2 linked regions of the Cricetulus griseus genome follow. Each later gene encodes a partner of the first gene's protein in a complex. Links are inferred from orthologs where the notes say so. Each region holds a gene or a part of one and is shown on either strand. Other genes may lie near its edges.

Region 1 (10,384 bases):
GTTCTAGCTATCATGAATAAAGCTGCTGTGAACGTAGTTGGGCAAGGGTCCTTGTGGTAGGATGGAGTGGTATAGCTGGGTCTTGAGGTAGATTGATTCCCAATTTTCTGAGAAACCGCCATATTGATTTCCAAAGTAGATGTAGAACTTGCTCTTCTGCAAGCAATGGAGAAGTGTTTGCCTTGCTTCACATCCTTGACAGCATGAATTGTTACTTAGTTTTTTATCTTGGCCATTCTGACAGGTGTAAGATGGAATCTCAAAGTTGTTTTGATTTCCCTGATGGTTAAGAATGTTGAACATTTCTTTAAGTGTTTCTTAGCCACTTGAGATTCTTCTGTTGAGAATTCTGGGTTTAGATCTGTACTCCATTTTTAACTGGATTATTCGGTTTGTTGATGTCTAGTTTCTTGAGTTCTTTATATATTTTGGATATTATTTCTCTGTCACATTTGGAGTTGGTAAAAATCTTTTCCCTTTCTGTAGGCTGCCGTTTTGTCCTATTGATGGTTTCCTTTGCCTTACAAAAGCTTCTCAGGTTCATGAGATCCTATTTATTAATTGTCAATCTTAGTGCCTGCACTATTGATATTTTGTTCAGGAAGCTGTGTCCTGTGCTATGTGTTCAAGGCTATTCCCCACTTTCTCTTCTGTCAGGTTCAGTGTATCTGATTTTATGTTGACGTCCTTGATCAAGTTGAACTTGAGTTTTGTTCAGGGTGATAGATATGGATTGATTTGCATTCTTGTACATGCCGACCTCCAGTTAGACCAGCACTATTTTTTGTTTTCTTTTTTCCATTGTATAATTTTGGCTTCTTTGCTGAAATCAGGTGTCCATAAGTGTATGGATTTACATCTGGGTCTTCAATTTGATTCCACTAGTTAACTTGTCTGTTTTTATGCCAATGCCATGTAGTTTTTTTTTTTTTAATTGCTCTGTAGTACAGCTTAAAATCAGGGATGGTGACAGCTCTTTTTTTTGTTTGTTTGTTTTTGTTTTTGTTTTTCGAGACAGGATTTCTCTGTGTAGCTTTGGAGCCTATCCTGGCACTTGCTCTGGAGACCAGGCTGGCCTCGAACTCACAGAGATCTGCCTGCCTCTGCCTCCCAAGTGCTGGGATTAAAGGCGTGCGCCACCAACGCCTTGCCTTAGATTTTTTTTTTTTTTTTTTTTTTTTTTTTTTTTTTTTTTTAAATTGTGGGATTACTTTGAGTTTCTCTCCATTTAATGTCCTTTGTATCCCTGATGTTTCTAAGACTTTTATCATGAAGGGGTACTGGATTTTGTTAAAGGCTTTTTCAACATCTAACAAGATGATCATGAGGTAGTTTTTTCTTTCAGTTTGTTTATATGGTACATTTTGTTGACAGATTTTCATATGATGAACCATCTCTGCATCTTTGGGATGAAGCCTACTTGATCGTGGTGGATGATCTTTTTGATGTGTTCTTGGATTTGGTTTGCAAGTATTTTATTGAGTATTTTTGCATCAATGTTCAGGAGGGAAATTGGTCTGTAATTCTCTTTCTTTGTTGAATCTTTGTGTGGTTTTGGTATCAGGGTGACTGTGGCCTCATAAAATGAATTTGGCAATGTTCCTTTTATTTCTATCTTGTGGAATGAGCTGATGAGTATTGGCATTAGCTCTTCATTGAAAGTATGGTAGAATTCTGTGCTTAAAAACATCTGGCCTTGGGCTTTTCTTTCTTTCTTTTCTTTTTTGGTTGGGAGACTTTTAATGATGGCATCTATTTCCTTGGGGGTTATAGGTCTGTTTAAATTGTTTATCTGGTCTTAATTTAACTTTGGTAAGAGGTATCTATCAAGAAAATTGTCCATTTTTTTTTTTAGATTTTCTAATTTTATGGAGTACAGGATTTTGAAGTATGACCTAATGATTTGTTGACTTTCCTCATTGTCTATTTTTATGTCCCCTTTCTGTTTCTGATTTTGTTAGTTTGGATATTCTCTCTCTGTCTTTTAAATAGTTTGGGTATTTGTATATCTTGTTTATTTTCTCAAAGAACCAACTCTCTGTTTCATTAATTCTTTGTATTGTTCTATTTTTTTATTTCAGCCCTCAGTTTATTTCCTGTCTTCTTCTCCTTTTGGGCGTTTGCTTCTTTTTGTTCTAGAGCTTTCAAGTGTGGTGTTAAGTTGCTAGTATGAGATCTCCACAATTTCTTTATGCAGGTACTTAGTGCTTTGAACTTTCCTCTTAGCACAGATTTCATTGTGTCCCATAAGTTTGGGTATGTTGTGCATGCATTTCATTTCTTTCTGTCTTTCTGCCCTGACCCAATAGTCATTCAATAAGGAGATGTTCAATTTCCATGATTTTGTAGACTTTCTGTTGTTGCTGAAATACAGTTTTAATCTGTGACTGGTCTGATAGGATACAGGGAGTTATTTCAGTTTTCTTGTATCTGTTGAGACTTGCTTTGTGTCTTAGTCTGTGGTCAATTTTGGAGACAGTTTCATGAGGTGCTGAGAAGAAAGTATATTCTTTTGTGTTTGGATGAAATGTTCTATAGATATCTGTTAGGTCCATTTGGTTTACACTGTCTGTTAACTCTATTATTTCTCTGTTTACTTTTGTCTGGATAACCTGTCCATTGGTGAGAGTTGGGTATTGAAGTCTCCTACTATTAATGTGTGAGGTTCAATGGGTGATTCAAGCTTTAATAATGTTTCTTTTATAAATGTGGGTGCTCCTGCATTTGGGGCTTGGATGTTAAGGATTGAAATGTCATCTTGGTGAATTTTTCCTTTGATGAGTATGAAGTATCCTTTCCTATCACTTTTGATTAATTTTGGTTTGATGTCTATTTTGTTAGATATTAAAATAGACATACCAGCTTGCTTCTTGGGTTCATTTGCTTGGAAAAATCTTTTTCCATCACTTTAATGTCTGTTTTTGAGGTTGAAGTGTGTTTCTTGTATGCAACAGAGGTGTGGGTTCTGTTTTTGTAACCATTCTATTAGTCTGTGTCTTTTTATTTGGGAATTGAGTCCAGTGATATTGAGACATATTAATGACCAATGATTGTTACTTCCTGTTATCTTGTTGTTTTTGATGATAATTGTGTGTTTGTGTTGTGCTTCCCTTTTTTTGGTTTTGCTGATGTGAAATTATTTCCTGTGTTTCATGGGTGTAATTAACTTTCTTGGGTTGGAATTTTCCTTCTAGTACCTTCTGTAGGGCTAGATTTGTGGATAGATATTGTTTAAATTTGACTTTGCCATGGGATAGCTTGTTTTCTCTGTCTGTGATAATTGAAAAATTTGCTTTGTATAATAGTCTGGCTGTCATTTGTGGTTTCTTAGAGTCTGCAAGACATCTGTCCAGGGCCTTCTGGCCTTTTGAGTCTCCATTGAGAAGTCGGACGTAATTCTAATAAGTCTGCTTTTATATGTTACTTGGCCTTTTCCCCTTGCAGCTTTTTATATTTTTTCTTGGTTCTGTATGTTTAGAGTTTTGATTATTATGTGGCGTGGAACTTTCTTTTCTGGTCCAATCTATTAGGTGTTCTGTAACCTTCTTGTACCTTTATAGGCATGCCATTTTATAAGTTGGGAAATTTTTCTTCTATGATTTTTGGTAAAAATACTTTCTGGGCTTTTGAACTGGGATTCTTCTTTATTCCTATTATTCTTAGGTTTGGTCTTTTCATAATGTCCCAGATTTCCTGGATGTTTTGTGTAAGGATTTTTTTTTTAGATGTAACATTTTCTTTTACTGTTGTATCTATTTCTTCTATCATATCTTCAATGTTGGTGAGACTTCATGGTGTAGATTCTCTGAAGTTTCCAGGAGACACAGAGATTGACTTTTAAAAAGTCTTCCCTGAGGTTTAAACCCCAGAGTCCATAAAGACTCTACCACTGAGCCTCACCTGCATTCAGATGTTTAACCTTTAAGTCTCTGTGTTCTGGGAGTTTCAGACTACCGAGCTATATTAACATGAATTGTCAAAATGCTCATCATAGACCTTAGAGGAAGCTGAAGAAATTGTTCACATGGTACAGAAATTCTGAAACATGATGTCCCTAGATGGGTTTGATTTTCTCTGATAATGGATTCTGAAGACTCTACTCATACAGACTCATATGAACATTAAAAATAGTTGTCATTTGGATGACAGTGTATTCTACTTAATAGCCACCCATAGATTTATTTTTTGTTGAAACAATAAATCTCTTAAAAACTCATCTGTTCAATTGGGATCTATGAGCCTTTTAATAGGATTTTTGAAAGAAAGTGCAGGATTTATAGCTCCGTATAAATTGCCTGACATGGAAGTTAAGGTCAGTAGAGCTTTGTTCAGTCGGTCGGAGTTGAACCCGGAAGCAAAAAAGACTTGTTTCTTTCTCGTTCTGTAGTGCTAGGTGCCAAAAGCTCTCATCTTTAGAATAGTATTTTCTTAACTTAGGATGACAGAGCAGAGTTCTAGTACTCAGGAAAGTATTTCATAAGTACAAGAATGATTTGAGATGTAGGTCGGTCCTTGAGATGATGTATTCAGGGTTCCTCATTTCACGGAAAGACAGTGCATTTGTGCAAGTCAGAATCTGGGAGTCATTTTAGATGCCTTTTCCCCCTAATCTGTAATGGGTGAATGCTGTCACTCTGTCAAGTCTTCTTAAAGGTCACATACCCACTCTCCTCATGGCCACCACTCCAATCTGCACCATCACCCTTTGTCTGAAGTAGCCACCTCATCCACAACAGAGTGACCTTTCAAAACACACACCTATGAGACTGTCTGTGGTTTTGCATTGTTCTCAGGATAACAGGGAATGGCTGTTCTGGGGATGATAGGGTCTCTCTCCAGCCTCTTCCAGCCCAGACACTACAGTTGCCAGTGACTTCCCTGATGCGCTGATGGGAGAGGCTTCCTGTGCTCTGTGCTCCACTAGACCCACATTCCTTTGCTCATGGTGTTTGCATAGATCTAGATTTAGACATTCAAGCCAGGCATGGTGGTTCATGTCTGACATACCACCATAGGGGAGGCTGAGCAGGAGGATCATTTCAAGTTTGCATAGTAAAAACAAATTGGATACTTGCTTTTGTGTTCGGTGTGTGGGAGCACACATGCCAGAGGTTAACTCTGAGTGACAATCCACTGTGATGCAATTACACACCTTGCTTTTGACATGAGTGCTAGGAATTGAGTTTAGGTCCTCAGGGTTGAGTGGCAAGCAGGTTACTGAATTGTATGTGTCTCTCCTGCAGAAAACAAGCTCCACAAGCTGCATTTGTGTCTATAGTCTCATCACCAAGTCCTAACCTTGTCTCAGTGTTTGAAAGAAAGTAGTTGCTCAGTATATTTGTTGAATGAATAAATGACTGTTTCTAATTGTTCAGGTGGAAGAAGAGGAACCCACCGGATACATTCGTTTTGAAAAGTTTCTTCCAGTGATGACCAAAGCACTTCTGGAAAGAAAGTAAGGAAGTAAATCCAATTTTAAGACAAGATAACTAGAATGGCAGTAATTTCAAAACATTTGGCTGGCCAGGTGTGATGCCTTATGCCTGTAATTCCAGCATTGATGGGCTGAGGAAGGAGGATTGCCACAAACCTGAGGCTAGCCTTAGTTATGGAGTTTCAGGCCATCCTGAGCTACAGAGTTTTGCCTCAAAACCAAACCAAACCAAACCAAACCAAACCAAACCAAACCAAACCACTTGGCCTTTTATATTTTATTTACCCAGTCTATATCTTAGGGTAGTTTCCTCTAGCCTTTCAGTGTACTGCAGACTGGTTTAGGGATGTGCTTATAAATATAAACCATGCTAGCATTTATTAATACAAGCAAGAAATAATGAAAAGGAAAAGGAGCTACAAAACCAACAACATTGTAGTTATATTTAACTGTGAATTACTATTTAAAAATAAAAATTAACATTAGTTACTTTCCTAGCATAAGACAGCATTAGCATATGACAGTTGATTGATTGTAGATGTTTTGGTTGTAGATAAATTTATTTTTATATCAATGAGAAAATGCTAATAGGTAATACCAAACATTCCTGTGGGGTAGGTACTGTTGACTTTCATATCCAGAAATCCAAAGAAATTTCATCAAGGGAAATGCCATTAGCATAGTATATTAGTGGCTTTTATTTTGCCTAATGCAGTCATTTATCATGTAGAGACTGAGATAAATATGCTGGCATTAACTCACTTTATTGTAAAATTACAGATACAGACCAATTGGTGAAGATGTCCTTCTCAGAGCTTTTGAGGTGGGTGAACTCCAGATTATTCATGTATATGTGAAAAACTAATTCATCATATAGTATTTATTCAACAAAGAAAATATATCTACTTTCCCCAGGTTTTGGATCCAGCTAAACGAGGGTTTCTGACCAAGGACGAACTGATCAAATACATGACTGAGGAAGGTCAGAGCACTTTATTTCTTATTTGAGTAATTTATGCAAAGATAAATAGGCTTAAAGATGTTTATTTTTTAATTGTGTGTGTGTGTGTGTGTGTGTGTGTGTGTGTGTGTGTCTGTGTGTCTGTGTGTCTGTGTGTGTCTGTGCATCTGAATGCAGTACCCATAGAGACCAGAAGCATCATGTCCCCTGTAGCTAAAGTTACAGATGGTTGCCAGCAACCTGACATGGATACTGGAAACTGAACTCAGGTTCTTGGCAAGAACAGTGCATGGTTTTAACTGCTGAACCATCTCTCCAGCCCAATTAATAAGTTCTAAACAATTATGCAAAAGTTATGGGAGGCGATACTTTAAAAGCAATTGTTTGGTTAAATAATTTATTTATTATTCCTATTATTTTGGTTTGGTATTTGATTTTGTGTAATAGAAGTGTAATGATTACTTGTATAAATTGTGTTTACTTTATTCACTTAAAATATTTTCTGAATAAAAGACATGCCACTTAATATGAGCTGTCAATCATAAACCAATGCCTTTTTAGACAGAAGATTTGAATTATAGTATATAAAAATTTCTTTCAAAAGACTGTCTTCGGTGGTAAAGTTGCAAACAATATAGCCTAATTGAATGCAAATTCACGCAAAACTGTATTTTCTTACGATAATGGGACCTCCTCTGACAAATACCTATATATTTCCTTAAATGTTCTCTTTTTATGTCAATATATATATGTGTGTGTGTGTTTCCGCTAACTGTAAGCAGCATGATGGACAATCATTAATGCTGTTCAGACACACACACCCTGCACTAAGGAAGGAGTTCTGCTTCCTCTACACACACACACACACACACACACACACCCTGCACTATCTTCAGCTCCCAGATGCACAGGCCACGTGGTGAGTGATGCAACAGTCACCCATCAGTTGGACATGGACATGGGTATCATTTTGAGCAAGGAGACCAGTACTGGAAGCTCTATGCACACCTGATTTGGCCATTTTAACTCAGTTCCCCCTCAGGAAACAGGAAGTGAGAGAAGGAGTAAGATGAAAGCCATAGCTGCCATCCAGGATCCCCTACTATGTTAAAATCATCTGAGTAGTTAACTTAACTAATTAACCCAGGATGAAAGGAAGTTAACCCTAAAGTATATTGGGCCACATGAAATTAATAAAAACAGCCAAAGAGGTTGAGTCATTCCCACTGTGTGCCTGTTGTATGTTTATTGGTAAAGCACAGTGGACGGTAATGACACTGGAATCTGATCCCTTTCTTGAGAAGCAAAGCTAACTTGTGAAATAGATCAATATGAGACATTAGAAAAATAGCTATCAGAAGATCAATGCAAGCTGAAACTAGCCTGGAAAGGTTGGCCTGGGAAGAGAGAATAGCTTCCTTGAGAAGGTAGGTTTATTCGTTTGCTTTTGTTTTGAGACAGGGTTGCATTCTATAACCCAGATGAATCTGGTGTTTACTACGTATGCCAGGCTGGCATTAAACTCAAGGCAATTCTCCTGCTTCAGCCTCTCAGATGGGATTACAGATGGGAGCCACCATTCTGTGCTTCAGAAGATAGGGTGAGCCATCCAGGGCAGGCGTAGTGAGATCTTATATGTTATAGCACCCTAAGAAAGGATGAGCCATCCAGGGCAGGCGTAGTGAGGTCATCTATGTTATAGCACCCTAAGATAGGATGAGCCATCCAGGGCAGGCGTAGTGAGGTCATCTATGTTATAGCATCCTAAGATAGGATGAGCCATCCAGGGCAGGCGTAGTGAGGTCATCTATGTTATAGCATCCTAAGATGGGATGAGCCATCCAGGGCAGGCGTAGTGAGGTCATCTATGTTATAGCATCCTAAGATGGGATGAGCCATCCAGGGCAGGCGTAGTGAGGTCATCTATGTTATAGCATCCTAAGATGGGATGAGCCATCCAGGGCAGGCGTAGTGAGGTCATCTATGTTATAGCATCCTAAGATAGGATGAGCCATCCAGGGCAGGCGTAGTGAGGTCATCTATGTTATAGCATCCTAAGATGGGATGAGCCATCCAGGGCAGGCGTAGTGAGGTCATGTATGTTATAGCACCCTAAGATAGGATGAGCCATCCAGGGCAGGCGTAGTGAGGTCATCTATGTTATAGCACCCTAAGATGGGATGAGCCATCCAGGGCAGGCGTAGTGAGGTCATCTATGTTATAGCACCCTCACACATCATAGTATCAGCATGTGAGTTTCAACAGATGCGCTATGAATGAACAAATGAGAAGCTGATTGAAGACAGATTCAGTTGGTTTGTGGGAAATGGAGAAATGGAACAGAATCTGGAAGGAAGGCAGCCAGGTACAAGGAAGAAGGCGAGCTCAGCCAGCCTTTGAGTCTTGTTGGAGGGAGGGAGGTGGTTTGGGGCTGAATTGTAGAGGCCTGCTCTTGAGCTCAGGGCATCCCCTGGGCGGTGGAGAGTTGGACTGAGTCACCCATTGTAGCAGTGCTGTGGGAAAGTGATTCTGGTGCTGGTCAGTTTGTAGGTGAGTAAGACAGGTGCAGCCAGCGAGATGAGCAGGGGGCTCCTTCAGCATTCCCAGGGTTCCCTAATACAGGCCTGGCCTGGCACAAGGACTAGAAAAGGGAATTAATGCAGTATAACTTTATCACAGGACCCTGGGCCATGGTGAATAACAGAGGGCAGGGGACGAAAATGGATGACGAGTATAAAGGAACACCAGGCTTTTGCCCTGGACCATGGATGTCAATAATAGTAATGCTACCGACTGAGACAGTGAAGTCAGGCACTACGGTACTGTGGGTAGGGATGACATGGCCATGTGGGTCACAGGAATATGCTTCATGAGAACTTCCAGGAAGGCATACTTACAGAGTTCTTGTACTCCAGGGCAACTGTTGCCTATCCTAATAGACAGAGCCTGCATCAGTTCTTTTCAGAGAAGGATATAAATGGTTTCAGTTATTTATTCAACATTATTCAATTTCTTCCAAGTTGTCTGAGCCAGTATATTTGTTAGGTACATATAAGATGCACTGTGATATCTTAATGCATCATTATTATTGGATGGAAAACACTCTTCCTCTAAGTACATTTGCAGCTGCCTAGTTCAGTAAAATGGTTGCTTAAGAAATGATATATTTTTTTAAGAGAGATGGTTTTTCTGTGTATCACTGATTGTCCTGGAACTCTCTCTGTAGACCAGGCTGGCCTTGAACAAAGAGATCCACTTGCCTGTGCCTTCTCAGTGCTGGGATTAAAGGTGTGCGCCACAGGCCTGGCTAAGAAGTGCTATTTTGGTTCTGAAAATTCCAAATTGTTTTTAAGTGTATCCAAGCTTTTGGACTATAAAGTTACTTCCATGTCCTCTCATAGTATCCACAGAACAGCCAACACAACTTTAAGTTTAAGAATGTACATTCTAAATGCCCAGGAGATTGTAAGATAGACACCATAAACCACACTGAGTGTACCTACAAGTACCTGTCAAGTATCTACCAGACAGAGTTCATGTGTGTCCAGTATGTATATTGCATCAGATGGTATTTAGCATCAGAAAAGATCTTAAGCCTTTAAAAAACAAATGCATGTTGCTATGTGTCAGATGTTTGTGGAAGTGCTATTTGAATAATAACAGATTTAATCCTTTTACCAAGCCCATGGGTGGAGAGTATTAGCATCATCTGTATTGTGTAGACTGGGAAGATAGGTTAAGCAACCTGCCCAAGATCATAAAGCTAGCAAGAGGGCTAGAACTTGACTCTGTGAGGCTTGTCCTTTAAGATGTGCCTCTCAGTGTTGAGCAGTTTTCCTGCTATCTTAACCCAAATGCTGTGCAGGCAGTGTGGCAGAGGGACTCCTGTGGTCAAGGCTTAGTCTAAGCAGCTCTGTGGAGTGCTTCGGCCAAGCTTGTCATCTGGCGTTCAGACTCGTCCCCGTTCACTTGAGGGCAGGCTGCATTGC
Region 2 (11,051 bases), on another chromosome or scaffold:
GTTGAAGAAGAATCGAAGGTGTGTGTGGGACTCTCAGCTCTCATCAGCACCTCAAGTAGGACCTGGGACCCCAGTCCAGCAACGTACTCCTCTTACTTGCCTCTCTCTCCTGCCTCCTTACAGGAAGTTTAAGTTTAATCCAAGGCTGGGCATTGACAATCCTGTCCTCTCCCTGGCTGAAGACCAGGACCAGTCTGGTAACACCCTCACCCCTGGCAACCATTACCTTTCCCTAGAGACATTACAGTGCCACAGTCTCCTATCACCTTGGTAACCACTAACTGCCTCCCAGTGATATCAGTAACTAAGCAGAGGTAGAGGGAGGCAGCTCACCCTTTGTGTCAGCCACCTTGCCCATGAAGTGTCCATTCGGCTCTTAAGCCCACCCTCTCACTGTCTGGAAGCTATCCAGTGCTCTGATGGGACTCAGGGGCTACCAGTCATTTGATGGTCCTGTACTTGAACTGTGTCCCCTCCTTTTTTTTGCTGTCTACCTCCTCCTCTAGACCCCTGGAACCTGCGGCGGCCTCGCTTCTGTCTGTTGAGCAAAGAGGAGGAAAAGAGTTTTGGGTTCCATCTGCAGCAGCAGCTGGGCAAGGCTGACCATGTGGTGTGCAGGGTAGATCCAGGCTCTTCTGCCCAACGTCATGGTCTCCGGGAAGGAGACCGGATCCTAGCGGTGAACAATAAGAACGTGGAACACGAGGACTATGCGATGGTGAGGCTGGGCTGAGACTTCTTGTGGCACAAAGGAACACTCCATAGCACTTCTTTGCCTGGGCACTCTAATGCATTGGCCAAGCCTCACTCTCCCTAGTCCCCATGATTCGGAGGTACCCAGTTAGAGCGCTTTATAAAGACTCCTACAGAACTGATTTCTACAATGGAAATACAAATTCTAAGGGGGTCCTGGGATCCCACCAGGGGGCCAACCTCTCTCCCATGTCCTTTTATAGGTAGTACGCTGCATCCGGGCCAGCGGTCCCCGGGTCTTGCTGACAGTCTTAGCGCAACATGCACATGATGTGGTGCGCGCTCAGCAGGGGAGCGATGTCTTCTGTTGTCCTGCCCTAGGCCCAGAGGTCAGGCCCCGGTTGTGCCACATAGTAAAAGACGAAGGTGGCTTTGGTTTCAGCATCACCCATGGTGAGCTTAGGGCCAGATGGGATTGTCAGAGATGGGAAATTCAGACTCTGTTCCAGGCAAGGAGCAGACTGGGAGTTACTTTGTCTGCCTTTAGGAAATCGGGGCCCTTTCTGGCTGGTGCTCAGTTCAGGAGGAGCTGCTGAGAGAGCAGGAGTGCCCCCTGGGGCCCGGCTGTTAGAAGTGAATGGGGTCTGTGTGGAGAAGTTCACTTCCAACCAGCTCAGTAGGAAGGTAGGGCTTCCTGTGGCGGCTGCTACGTGAACCCCGCCTCCTGATCTGAGGGTCTGTATACGTCGCCCCTCTTTTTCTTTTCTCTACAGTTTGTGTGGGCCTGGGGGGAGGTGCTGAGGAGATATCTACCTCTCCATCCCCCCCATGGATGGTTCATGCTTCTACTCTTGCTGGGTCCCCACAGCTTTCGCAGAGTGGAGATCAGGTGACTCTGCTGGTGGCGGGGCCGGAGGTAGAGGAACAGTGTCATCAGCTGGGAATGCCTCTTGCTGCACCCCTGGCAGAGGGCTGGGCACTGCCTGCCAAGCCCCGGTGTCTAAACATAGAGAAAGGACCTCAAGGCTTTGGGTTCCTGCTCCGGGAGGAGAAGGGCCTGGATGGTCGCCTTGGTGAGTGGCAGCCCGAGGTGTGTGTGTGTGTGTGTGTGTGTGTGTGTGTGTGTGTGTGTGTGTGTGTAAGTGGGCCTTAGGATGGTCATATATATCCAGTTGCACTCTTCTCAGTGTCCCCGGGAGAGCATGGGGTGAGTCAGGGAGGAGAAGTGAATATGTCTATGTCCCAGGGCAGTTCTTGTGGGATGTGGACCCAGGACTGCCAGCTGACAAGGCTGGGATGAAGGCTGGAGACCGCCTGGTGGCTGTGGCTGGGGAAAGTGTGGACGGGCTGGGCCATGAGGAAACCGTGTCTAGGATCCGAGCACAGGGCTCTTGTGTCTCCCTTATTGTCGTTGATCCTGAGGCTGACCGCTTCTTCAGCATGGTGCGTAAGTGACAGGGTTAGGGAGGGGGTAGGGATGGAGCAGGGCTCAAGTGCCACAGGTTTGCTCTCTCTGCCCCCACTACCAGGTACGGCTGTCTCCTCTCCTCTTCTTGGAGAACACAGAGATTGCTGACTCCCCTCTGGCGGAAACCAAGGATCATCTAGTTGAAGATGCAGCTGAGCCTTCTGACACTGTTGGCTCCCGCCAATGCTTCTTGTACCCTGGGGCTGGAGGTGGCTATGGATTCAGACTCTGCTTCGTGGCCAGTGGGCCTTGTCTCTTCATCTCCCAGGTGACTGACGCCCCACCCACGTTGGCCTCTTTCCATCGTTCATCACCTACCTTCTGCTGCCCATCTACATGCCCAGCCTTAGAACACTTGACCAATGTTTCTGTGCCCCCCCAATACTGCCAGGTGACCCCAGGAGGCTCAGCTGCCCGAGCAGGGCTGCAAATGGGAGATGCAATTTTGGAGGTGAATGGATACCCTGTGGGTGGTGACAGTGACCTGGATAGGCTTCAGCAGCTGGCTGAGGCCGAGCCACCCCTCTGCTTGAAGCTGGCAGCTAGGAATCTGCAGGGCTTAGAAGCCTGGATTTCCTCCGAGTCTGGAAAGGTGAAGTCAAAGAAACAGATGGAGCTATGAAAAGGACAGAGAGGAGGGTTGCTGGGTGGAGCACTGTGGGATGTGTAGGGGGGAACTGTAGGTCGTAGGAGGTGGGGGCAGAGGATCCATCAAACAAGTCCCATTCCTGAGCAGTCACAACATGTTGTAGCAGGAAAATGAAACCTTCTGGTCCCAGGCTGACTCTGTCCTTCTCTCCTTGTAGGACTGGAGCCTGGCTGCAGAGCTGCTATAGGACATGCCTGCTTGGCACAGACTTGCCTAATGGCTTTCGTGCCCTTGCTCTGCACCCTGAGGTGGAGGGAGCCAGGAATGACCTCCCCAAATGGGAAGTGGGACTTGGAAAATTCAGACTCCAATGATCACATGACTGCTTGGGAGGCACCTACCTCCAGCAGAGGGGTGAGGACTCATGAGGGAGCCCAAGTTTCCACGGGATGTTTTGTAGAAGTTTTGAGGACCTGTGCTACAAAGATGAATTTCTTCTGCCCAAGAAGGTGATGCTGTGGAGCCATTTAGGATCAAAGCCATTGAGAACTTAGGCTAGCTATGACTCCAGTGTTAAATGGCATGAGAATTTGGAGATCAGCCATATTTTCCTTCTGTGGACATCTTAGAAACTTGGAGCCAGCAGGCAGATCTCTGTGACTTTGACAGGCAGATCTCTGTGACTTTGAGGACAGCCTGGTCTACAAGAGCTAGTTCCAGGACAGGCTCCAAAACTACACAGAAACCCTGTCTCATAAAACTAAAAAGAAAAAGAAACTTGGGAGCTGGTTCCTGGCCACTGTAATGTCCTATTACAGCCTTTCCCAGTGGGCCAGTGAGATGGCTCAGTTGGTAAAGGTGTTTGCTGCTAAGCCTGACAACCCAAGTTCAATCCTCAGAACCCTGTTGGTAGAAGGAGAGAACCAATTCCTGGGAGTTGTCCTCTAGCCTCTACGTGAACACCTTAGTATGCCACTGTCCAAATAAATAAATAAATAAATAAATACATACATACATACATACATACATACATATATATATATATATATATATATATATATATATATATGCAGTCTTTCCATGGACATCTGGCTTTGTGTTTTTCTTAGTGAGGATAAGCCATGGTAGTTTAAAGGAACCAAAGGTGCTCCAGGCTTAAGGGAATGGGATCTAGTTTCTGTAGGAGAGGGTTTAGAACCTTTTCCATTTCTTATTGTTCAGTGTTTAGAACAGTGGGACAATGGGGTTAACCCAGAATATAGATGTCCCCACGAGAGCTGTTCCTCAATGCTAAAGGCCACAATCCACACTTCTGATGAATTCTACTCCAAGTCGCTTTATTGCTAGGCCTCAGAAATTAGGGGCCAATGGCTTCAAAGTTCCAGGGGGTTGAGAGCAAACTGACGTAGTTGCTCCTTGTGCCTGGTGTGGAGTCTCAGCACAGCTGCATCCCACTGAGGCTTGGCAGCTCTCAGCTTGGCCAAGAGACAGTCCAGGCTGCCCTGTGAACAACAAGCTCTCAGTTCCCGGAGACAGGGAAGGGGGAATGTTGCCTTAGGTTGCCCAGCTTGGTTAGGAATAGTTCTTTGCCAATGGCTTCCCTTCCTTCCCTTTCCTTCCCTTCCCTTCCTTCCTTTCCCTTTCCTTCCCTTCTTCCTTTTCCTTTCCTTTCCTTTCCTTTCCTTCTCGTTTCCTTCCTTCCTTCCTTCCTTCCTTCCTTCCTTCTTTCCTTTCCTCCCTCCTTCCTTTCTTCTGTAAGATACCCTTGCTTTGTATCCTGGCTGGCTTTGAACTCAGAATTCTCCTGCCTCAGTTTCCCAAAGTACTGAATTGCAAGCATGAGCTACCTTTCCTGGCTGCCCATTATTCTCTCTCTCTTCAGCACTCAGGATGGAACTAAGGCCTCATACATGCTAGACAAGCACCCTGTCCACTGAGCTGTCCATCAAACCCTCTTTTTACCTTTTATTTTGAGGTGGAATCTCTTACTATACTGCCTAGACTGACCTTGAACTCTGTACCTAGGTTGGTCTTGATTGAACCTATGATCCTCCTGCCTCAGCCTCCTGAATAGTAGGATTACAAACCTGTGCTACTCCTTTTGTTCCCTGCTCCTCCTCCTCCCCATTCCTCTTCCTGCTCCCCTCCCCTCCCCTCTTTTGGGAAGGTTGAACCCATGGCCTTGCATACTAGTGAGAGCTCTACCATTGACCTATACTCACAGGCCCTGATTATTTTGGTCTAGGTCTCACTATGTAGCAGCTATATAGCAAGCACATTGTAGCCAGTGTTGACCTTGAACTTGAAATCTTCCTGCCTTAGCCACCCAAGTACTGGGATTATAAGTCACTGGCTCTGTCAATGGTTGTATCTTCTGTTTATACTTAGATGGCTCCCTTGGGTTGTGGGTCATCACACTAGTTGGGAGCATAGGGATGGAGGGTTATGGGATCCTGAGAAGATGGCTTCCAGGGGGTGGTGCTTACATGCAAGATTTCTTCATACTCGGCCTCCATGTTTGCCACGTGGGCACGAAGCTGAGACAGGGTTTCATCTTGCTCTCTGAGGGCTTGCTCAGCCTCTTCCCTTGCTGTCTTAGCCTCCTTTTGGCATGTTTCTAGGGTGCAGGGCAGAAAGATAAAGAGGACAGGATGGTGACACTACACCAAGAGCAGTAACCAACCTTGACAGAGTCATTACAGACTTTAGGGTCATCAACTTCCCCCAGGTCTATAAGGACTCACTGAGGTATGGCAGAGTGAGTAGAGGTCTTGAGACAGGAGACGGGTCCAAAGTCTGGTGATTGTTACATATACAGCATGGGACAAGTATCTCTGGGTCTCCATGACTTAAATGTTTGGCTTTGTTTTGTTTAAGACAGGGTCTTATGTAGCCCAGACTGGCCTTAAACTCCCCATGTAGCCAAGGACAACCTTGCACTCCAGATCGTCCTCCCTCTATCTCCCAGGGTTGGGATTATAGACTTGTGCCAACTAATGTGGTGCAGTTTCTCTATCTTTATACATATTTTTATTTTTAATTTTATATCTGGATTTTAAAAATAATTTTATTGGGATGGAGAGATGGCTCAGAGCACTGGCTGCTCTTCCAGAGGTTCTGAGTTGAACTCCTAGCACCCTCATGGTGGCTCACAACCATCTATAATGAGATCTGCTGCCCTCTTCTGGTGTGCAGGCATGCATGCAGGCAGAACACTATACTTAATAAATAAACTGTTAAAAAACTTTTATCCCTCCCCTCCCCCCCTCCCCATGTGTGTATATGTATGCAGGTGCCTGTGGAGGACAGATGAGGGCATTGGATTGGATCTCCTGAAACTGGAATTACAATGGTTGTAAGTCACCATGTGGGTGCTGGGAACAAAGCCAGGCCCTCAGGAAGAGCAGCCAGTGTTCATAATCATTGAACCCTTTCTCTAGCCCCTTCTTTATCTTTGGAGAGAAAATGATATACGTTCCTCTTGTTTGCTATGACTCTTAAATGTGAAAATGGATGACAAAACACCTAATGTAGCAGGTGTTCAATAAATGTTGAATTTTAATTTGAAAGAAGGCCAATGTTAGAGATGGAATCCCTGGCCTGTATAAGCAGTTCATGAATATTTATAGCGGAAACTGAAGATATTTTGGATGTGGTAGCTCACATCTGTAATCCTACAACTCAGGAGACTGAGGCTGGAGGATCACTGTGAGTTCGAGGCCACCTTGGGCTTTTTGAGGACTACAAAGAGTCAGGAGGGGATGGAGCAATGCCCAGTGTTTAAGAGCACCCAGGTTTTGTTCCCAGTGACTCAAAATCATCTTTAACTCCAGTTCCAGGGGATCTGATGCCCTCTTCTGACCTGTTTTCCTATTTAATTGGTATATTCACTGATTTAACAAGTAGTAATTTAAGGCCTTCTACCAGGTGCCCAAGTTTGAAGATACTAAAATAAATTAAGTCTACTGTTTTCTGTAGTTTGGTTGCAAAGGTCAGCTAAACTAACAAGAAATGTGTTTTGCTTAGGATGGACAAGGCAGTGAAGGGGGTAACTGCTGGGTTTGGGGAGATTAAGCAAAGGGGGAAAAGGGGTGAGAGTCCTACCTTTCCTTACTTCTATCTTGGAGGGCTTTTTATTTTATTTTTTTGAGTTATTTATTTTGTTATTTTATGTGTATGAGTGCTTTGCCTGCATGTATGTATGTGCATCCTGTGGGTGTCTGTGGAGGTCAGAAGAGGACTTTAATTAGATCCCCTATCACTTAGGTTACAGATGGTTTGTGAGCCACTATGAGGATGCTGGCTCAGGTTCTCTGTAAGAACAAGTGCTCTTAAGTACTGAGCAAACTCCCAGAGAGGCCAAGTCCAGCCCCTCACATAGGGGTTTGTGCCACTGAACTCTCAATTCAGAGAAAAGCTAGGGTGAAGGTGACCCTAGTTAAAATTCAACCAGAAGACTGTAGACAGCAAGTGAAGGACCTCCCAAGTCCACTCTTCCATGATTGTTTGTGAGCCTGGGGAATAAGAGTGAGCGATGGGGACTACCTAGCTGCTCCCGTAGGCTTCTCACTTCCTCCTCCAGCTGCTTGCTTCGGGTCCTCAACTCCTCTTGCAGGGCCCGGCGCTGGCGGCTCATCTCTGAGGTAGGAACCATAGGGATAGAGGCATGAAGAAAGGAAATGAGGTTGCATGTGGGGAAAAGTCTCACTCAAGGAACAGAACTAAGAAACTTGGGAGACCTTGAAAATTTGGGAGATTGGAAACCAGACGTCCCCCTACCCCACACATCAGCTTAAAAGTGGGGACCCTGGCCCTTCTTGCCACTTACTCCCAAAAATAAAGGTAAAGGGCCATGGCTACATTGTGTTTCACACAGATATCAAGCGTGCAGCATTAGACATTCTAGAATGTGGTAATCTGCATTCTGCCAGGGATCTGTCTTTGGTTCTCAGGACCCTGCCTATGCAGGGACAGCAGAGGGTAGGGTATGGCAGTTAGATTCCTCTTCATTTCCCTTCCTTGAATTCCCCAATTTTCATGGTTGTCCTCTTCCATGCCTTTGTCTCCTGCCCACCTGGCCAATCAAATCATACCTGCATAGACAGCATCCCTTTCACTTTGGGCCTTCTCCAGTTCAGCTTCTAGCCCTTGCAACCTCTGCTTCAGCCTCTCTTCAGAAGCCTTGGCTCTGCGGGTCTCATCCCTCTGGAGAGCTGTGGACAGTGTCAAGAGCCATGCTCAGGTCTGGCTGTGGGTCCTACAGAACCAATCACCATGGCCTCCATGAACTAAGTTCACCTCTGTGAACTTGGTGACAGGTGTCAATTTCGTATACTCTTTATTAGTTGCCCCAAAACCCATAGGGTTTTCATTCCTAAGTCAATAATCCCTCCATGTTCTGGCCACTATAAGACAATGGCTTCCCCAAGTTGCAGGTTAGCTCCATGGTAGACTACTTACCTATCATGAATGAAGTTGTGATTCTATTCCCAGCTGGGGGAAGGGGTGGGAGATAGCTTCTTTCATTGATCTTCACTGCCTAGCCCTTCCTCACAATCTTGCAAATAGATTAATGGCTATCTTGGTTTAGCCCTGCACACAGTTCAAACTTTCCAGTTCCCCAAGAACCCAGAAATGCCCTATGTTCCATACATTGGGTGGCTAGTTTATTGTCAACTTGACATAAGCTAGAGCCATTAGAGAAGAGGTAGCCTCAACTGAGAAAATGCTTCCATAAGATCAGGCTGTAGGCAAGATTTTAGGGCATTTTCTTAATTAGTGACTAATGGGGAGGGCCTACCCACTGTGGATGGTGCCACCACTGAGCTGGTGGTCCTGCGTTCTATAAGAAAGCAGGCTGAGCTGGGCATTGGTGGCGCACGCCTTAATCCCAGCACTCGGGAGGCAGAGGCAGGCGGATCTCTGTGAGTCCGAGGCCAGCCTGGTCTCCAGAGCGAGTGTCAGGATAGGCTCCAAAGCTACACAGAGAAACCCTGTCTCGAAAAACCGAAAAACAAAACAAAATAAAACAACAACAACAAAAAGGGAAGCAGGCTGAGCAAGCCATGTGAAGCAAGGCAGTAAGCAGCAACCCTTCATGACCTCTGTATCAGCTCCTGCCTCCAGGATCCTGCCCTACTCGGATTCCTATCCTGACTTTCTTCAATAATAAACAGTGATTTGGAAGCTTAAGCCAAATAAACCCTTTCCTCCCCAAGTTGATTTGGTCATGGTGTTTCATCACAGCAACGATGACCCTAACTAGGACTTCTATCTCTGCCATCTCCTGAGGCTTCAAACTTCTTACCCAAGTGGTCCTGAAGCAGCTCCTTCTCCAGCAGGACCATCCTATGCTTGGCCTCAGCCTCTGCATCTGTTCTGGCAAGACAATAGTCTCAGGTTATCCTTCTCTCGGCCTCACCCCAGTGCTGCTCTGCACCTGCACTTCTTCCTTCGTGATGGAGGAAGATAGCTGGATGAGGGAGGCCCAATGGCAAATCTGACAAATTTACGGCTGAGTGGCAGAGTCTTCACCCACCATGTGCACGGTGGGTGCTCAAAATAAGGGTGAAAAATATGATGAGGGCAAAGAACTAGATGGGGCTCCAGGGGGAATTTGGGAAGGAGGCATTCTCCACTTCCTCAGCCCCATGGAATCTGGACGCAAGGATCTGCAGAGGAGGGCCAGGAAGCTTCACCCTAGCCAAGTGTGGTAGCAACGCCTGTAATCCTGTCACTATGAAGACTGGGGCAGCCTGGGTCCCATAGTGACCCTGTGTCAAAAGAACAAAAGACAAAACCAAAACAAACCCACTCCATTTGTTGCCCAGAGGGCTGGATTCCCTCCGAGGACCTTTGTGTCACAGACACGCCCTGTGACTCACCAGGACTTGATTTTTTTTTCTTCTTCTGTGCCCCAGTTTTTCTCCCCTTTCCTTTGGTTTTAGGTGGCATCCTTGCTGCCCTGGGGGAGGGAAGACCTTCTGTGTAGGTCTGCATACAGAAATGCTCTCCTGACTCCTAGAGGTAGGGGTCTTGGGGCAGTCAGAATTCTAGTCTTCCAGTGTATCTTACACTTTCTAGAAGCTTTGGTTCTTGGTCTCCTGGGAACCCCAGGCAAGGCTGGGAGGTAGAGCAATTCTATGGGCAGCAGACAGCCCTTTTAGAGAAGATAAATCTCTGGACCTGGTCCCTTCTGTCTCCCCAACATGCTTATTCTTCCCCTTCCTACCTGGAGGACCTTCTCTTGCTTGAGTGCTGTCTCCCTGGGGAATAACACTCCTTGGGAAAGATAGAGTCCCAAGCAGATTGAGCCTAGGGAGGAAGGAGCCTGGGTCCTGGGAGCCAATCCAGGCTGAAAAACTTCCCCAAGAGGCAGGACCAAGAACTGGGATGTTGGGTTTCTGGAGACTGCCTGCTGCCCAGGCAACCGGGAAACACTGTGTTCATAGGCAGGTAGAATGGGCTAAATTGACTCACACAAAGGTCCTGTGTAGGTAGATTCCCCTCCTACCCGCAAAGAAAAGGTCTTGGAGCTGAATAGCTATTATTCATGTCTACACAGGCACTGCCTATCATCTGGAGACTTTGCAGTCTAGAAATCTAGAAGCATCCAGTGTGAGAGGCTAGTGCTTTACAGATGGAGAAGAAAGGCAGGGAAAGTAGCCATTGCAGGTACTTTATATCCCGAGGTCTCATGAACACAGTGACATGATTTGCTTTAGAACTTGAGGTCTACTTCAGAAATGCTATCTGTGGCTTGTGCAGGAAACACGTGCTGGCACAGGTAGTTGAGAGTTTTCCACTTAAGAGAAATGAGAACAGAGAAGAGCTGTGGACTTGGGGATGCTGACCCAGAAAGGAGGCCACAAATTAGGCAGAGTTGCGAACTGAGCTACTTAATTTTGCTCAGCTTGGATTTCTTGGTGTATAAGTTTTGTAGTTCCCTCCTGGAGTCCAGTTGTAGAGAGGGAGGAGGGATGAGCAAAGGGGTCAAGACCATGCTGGGGAAACTCACAGAAACAGCTGACCTGAGCAAGTGGGAACACACGGACCCCAGTCTGACATCTGGGGAACCAGCATAGGACCCAACCAGGCCCCCTGAAGATAGGTGTCAGTTGGGAGGCCAGGGCAGTCTATGGGGCCTCTGGCAGTGGAACCGGTATTTATCCTAGTGCACAGACTTTGGGAGCCCATTCCCTATGGAGGGATACTCTCTCAGCCTAGATACATGGGGGAGGGCCTAGGCCTTGCCCCAAATGATGTGACAGACTTTGATGATCCCCCTGGGAAGGCTTTACC

What was found. Proteins that work in one complex are often made in the same cells at the same time.
Region 2: Efcab2 (region 1) and Ccdc153 share a complex: the UniProt entries of both Homo sapiens proteins name them as parts of the nexin-dynein regulatory complex. The link is inferred for Cricetulus griseus from reciprocal best matches to the Homo sapiens genes DRC8 and DRC12.

The regions. Positions count from the first base shown.
Region 1 is NC_048598.1:15,665,647-15,676,030, reverse strand, and holds part of Efcab2 (dynein regulatory complex protein 8), read left to right. Parts: intron 1-5,375; coding exon 5,376-5,455; intron 5,456-6,214; coding exon 6,215-6,257; intron 6,258-6,349; coding exon 6,350-6,416; intron 6,417-10,384. UniProt on the Homo sapiens protein: Component of the nexin-dynein regulatory complex (N-DRC), a key regulator of ciliary/flagellar motility which maintains the alignment and integrity of the distal axoneme and regulates microtubule sliding in motile axonemes.
Region 2 is NC_048597.1:155,927,586-155,938,636, reverse strand, and holds Ccdc153 (coiled-coil domain-containing protein 153), read right to left. Parts: upstream 10,734-11,051; 5' UTR 9,982-10,733; intron 9,715-9,981; 5' UTR 9,705-9,714; coding exon 9,635-9,704; intron 9,609-9,634; exon of another isoform or gene 9,570-9,608; coding exon of another isoform or gene 9,565-9,569; intron 9,129-9,564; coding exon of another isoform or gene 9,124-9,128; coding exon 9,058-9,123; intron 7,964-9,057; coding exon 7,844-7,963; intron 7,389-7,843; coding exon 7,296-7,388; intron 5,368-7,295; coding exon 5,237-5,367; intron 4,253-5,236; coding exon 4,124-4,252; 3' UTR 4,067-4,123; downstream 1-4,066. Other genes in the region: Pdzd3 (Na(+)/H(+) exchange regulatory cofactor NHE-RF4), read left to right, coding at 124-197, 507-718, 957-1,146, 1,241-1,377, 1,562-1,766, 1,940-2,136, 2,223-2,429, 2,553-2,753 and 1 more. UniProt on the Homo sapiens protein: Component of the nexin-dynein regulatory complex (N-DRC), a key regulator of ciliary/flagellar motility which maintains the alignment and integrity of the distal axoneme and regulates microtubule sliding in motile axonemes.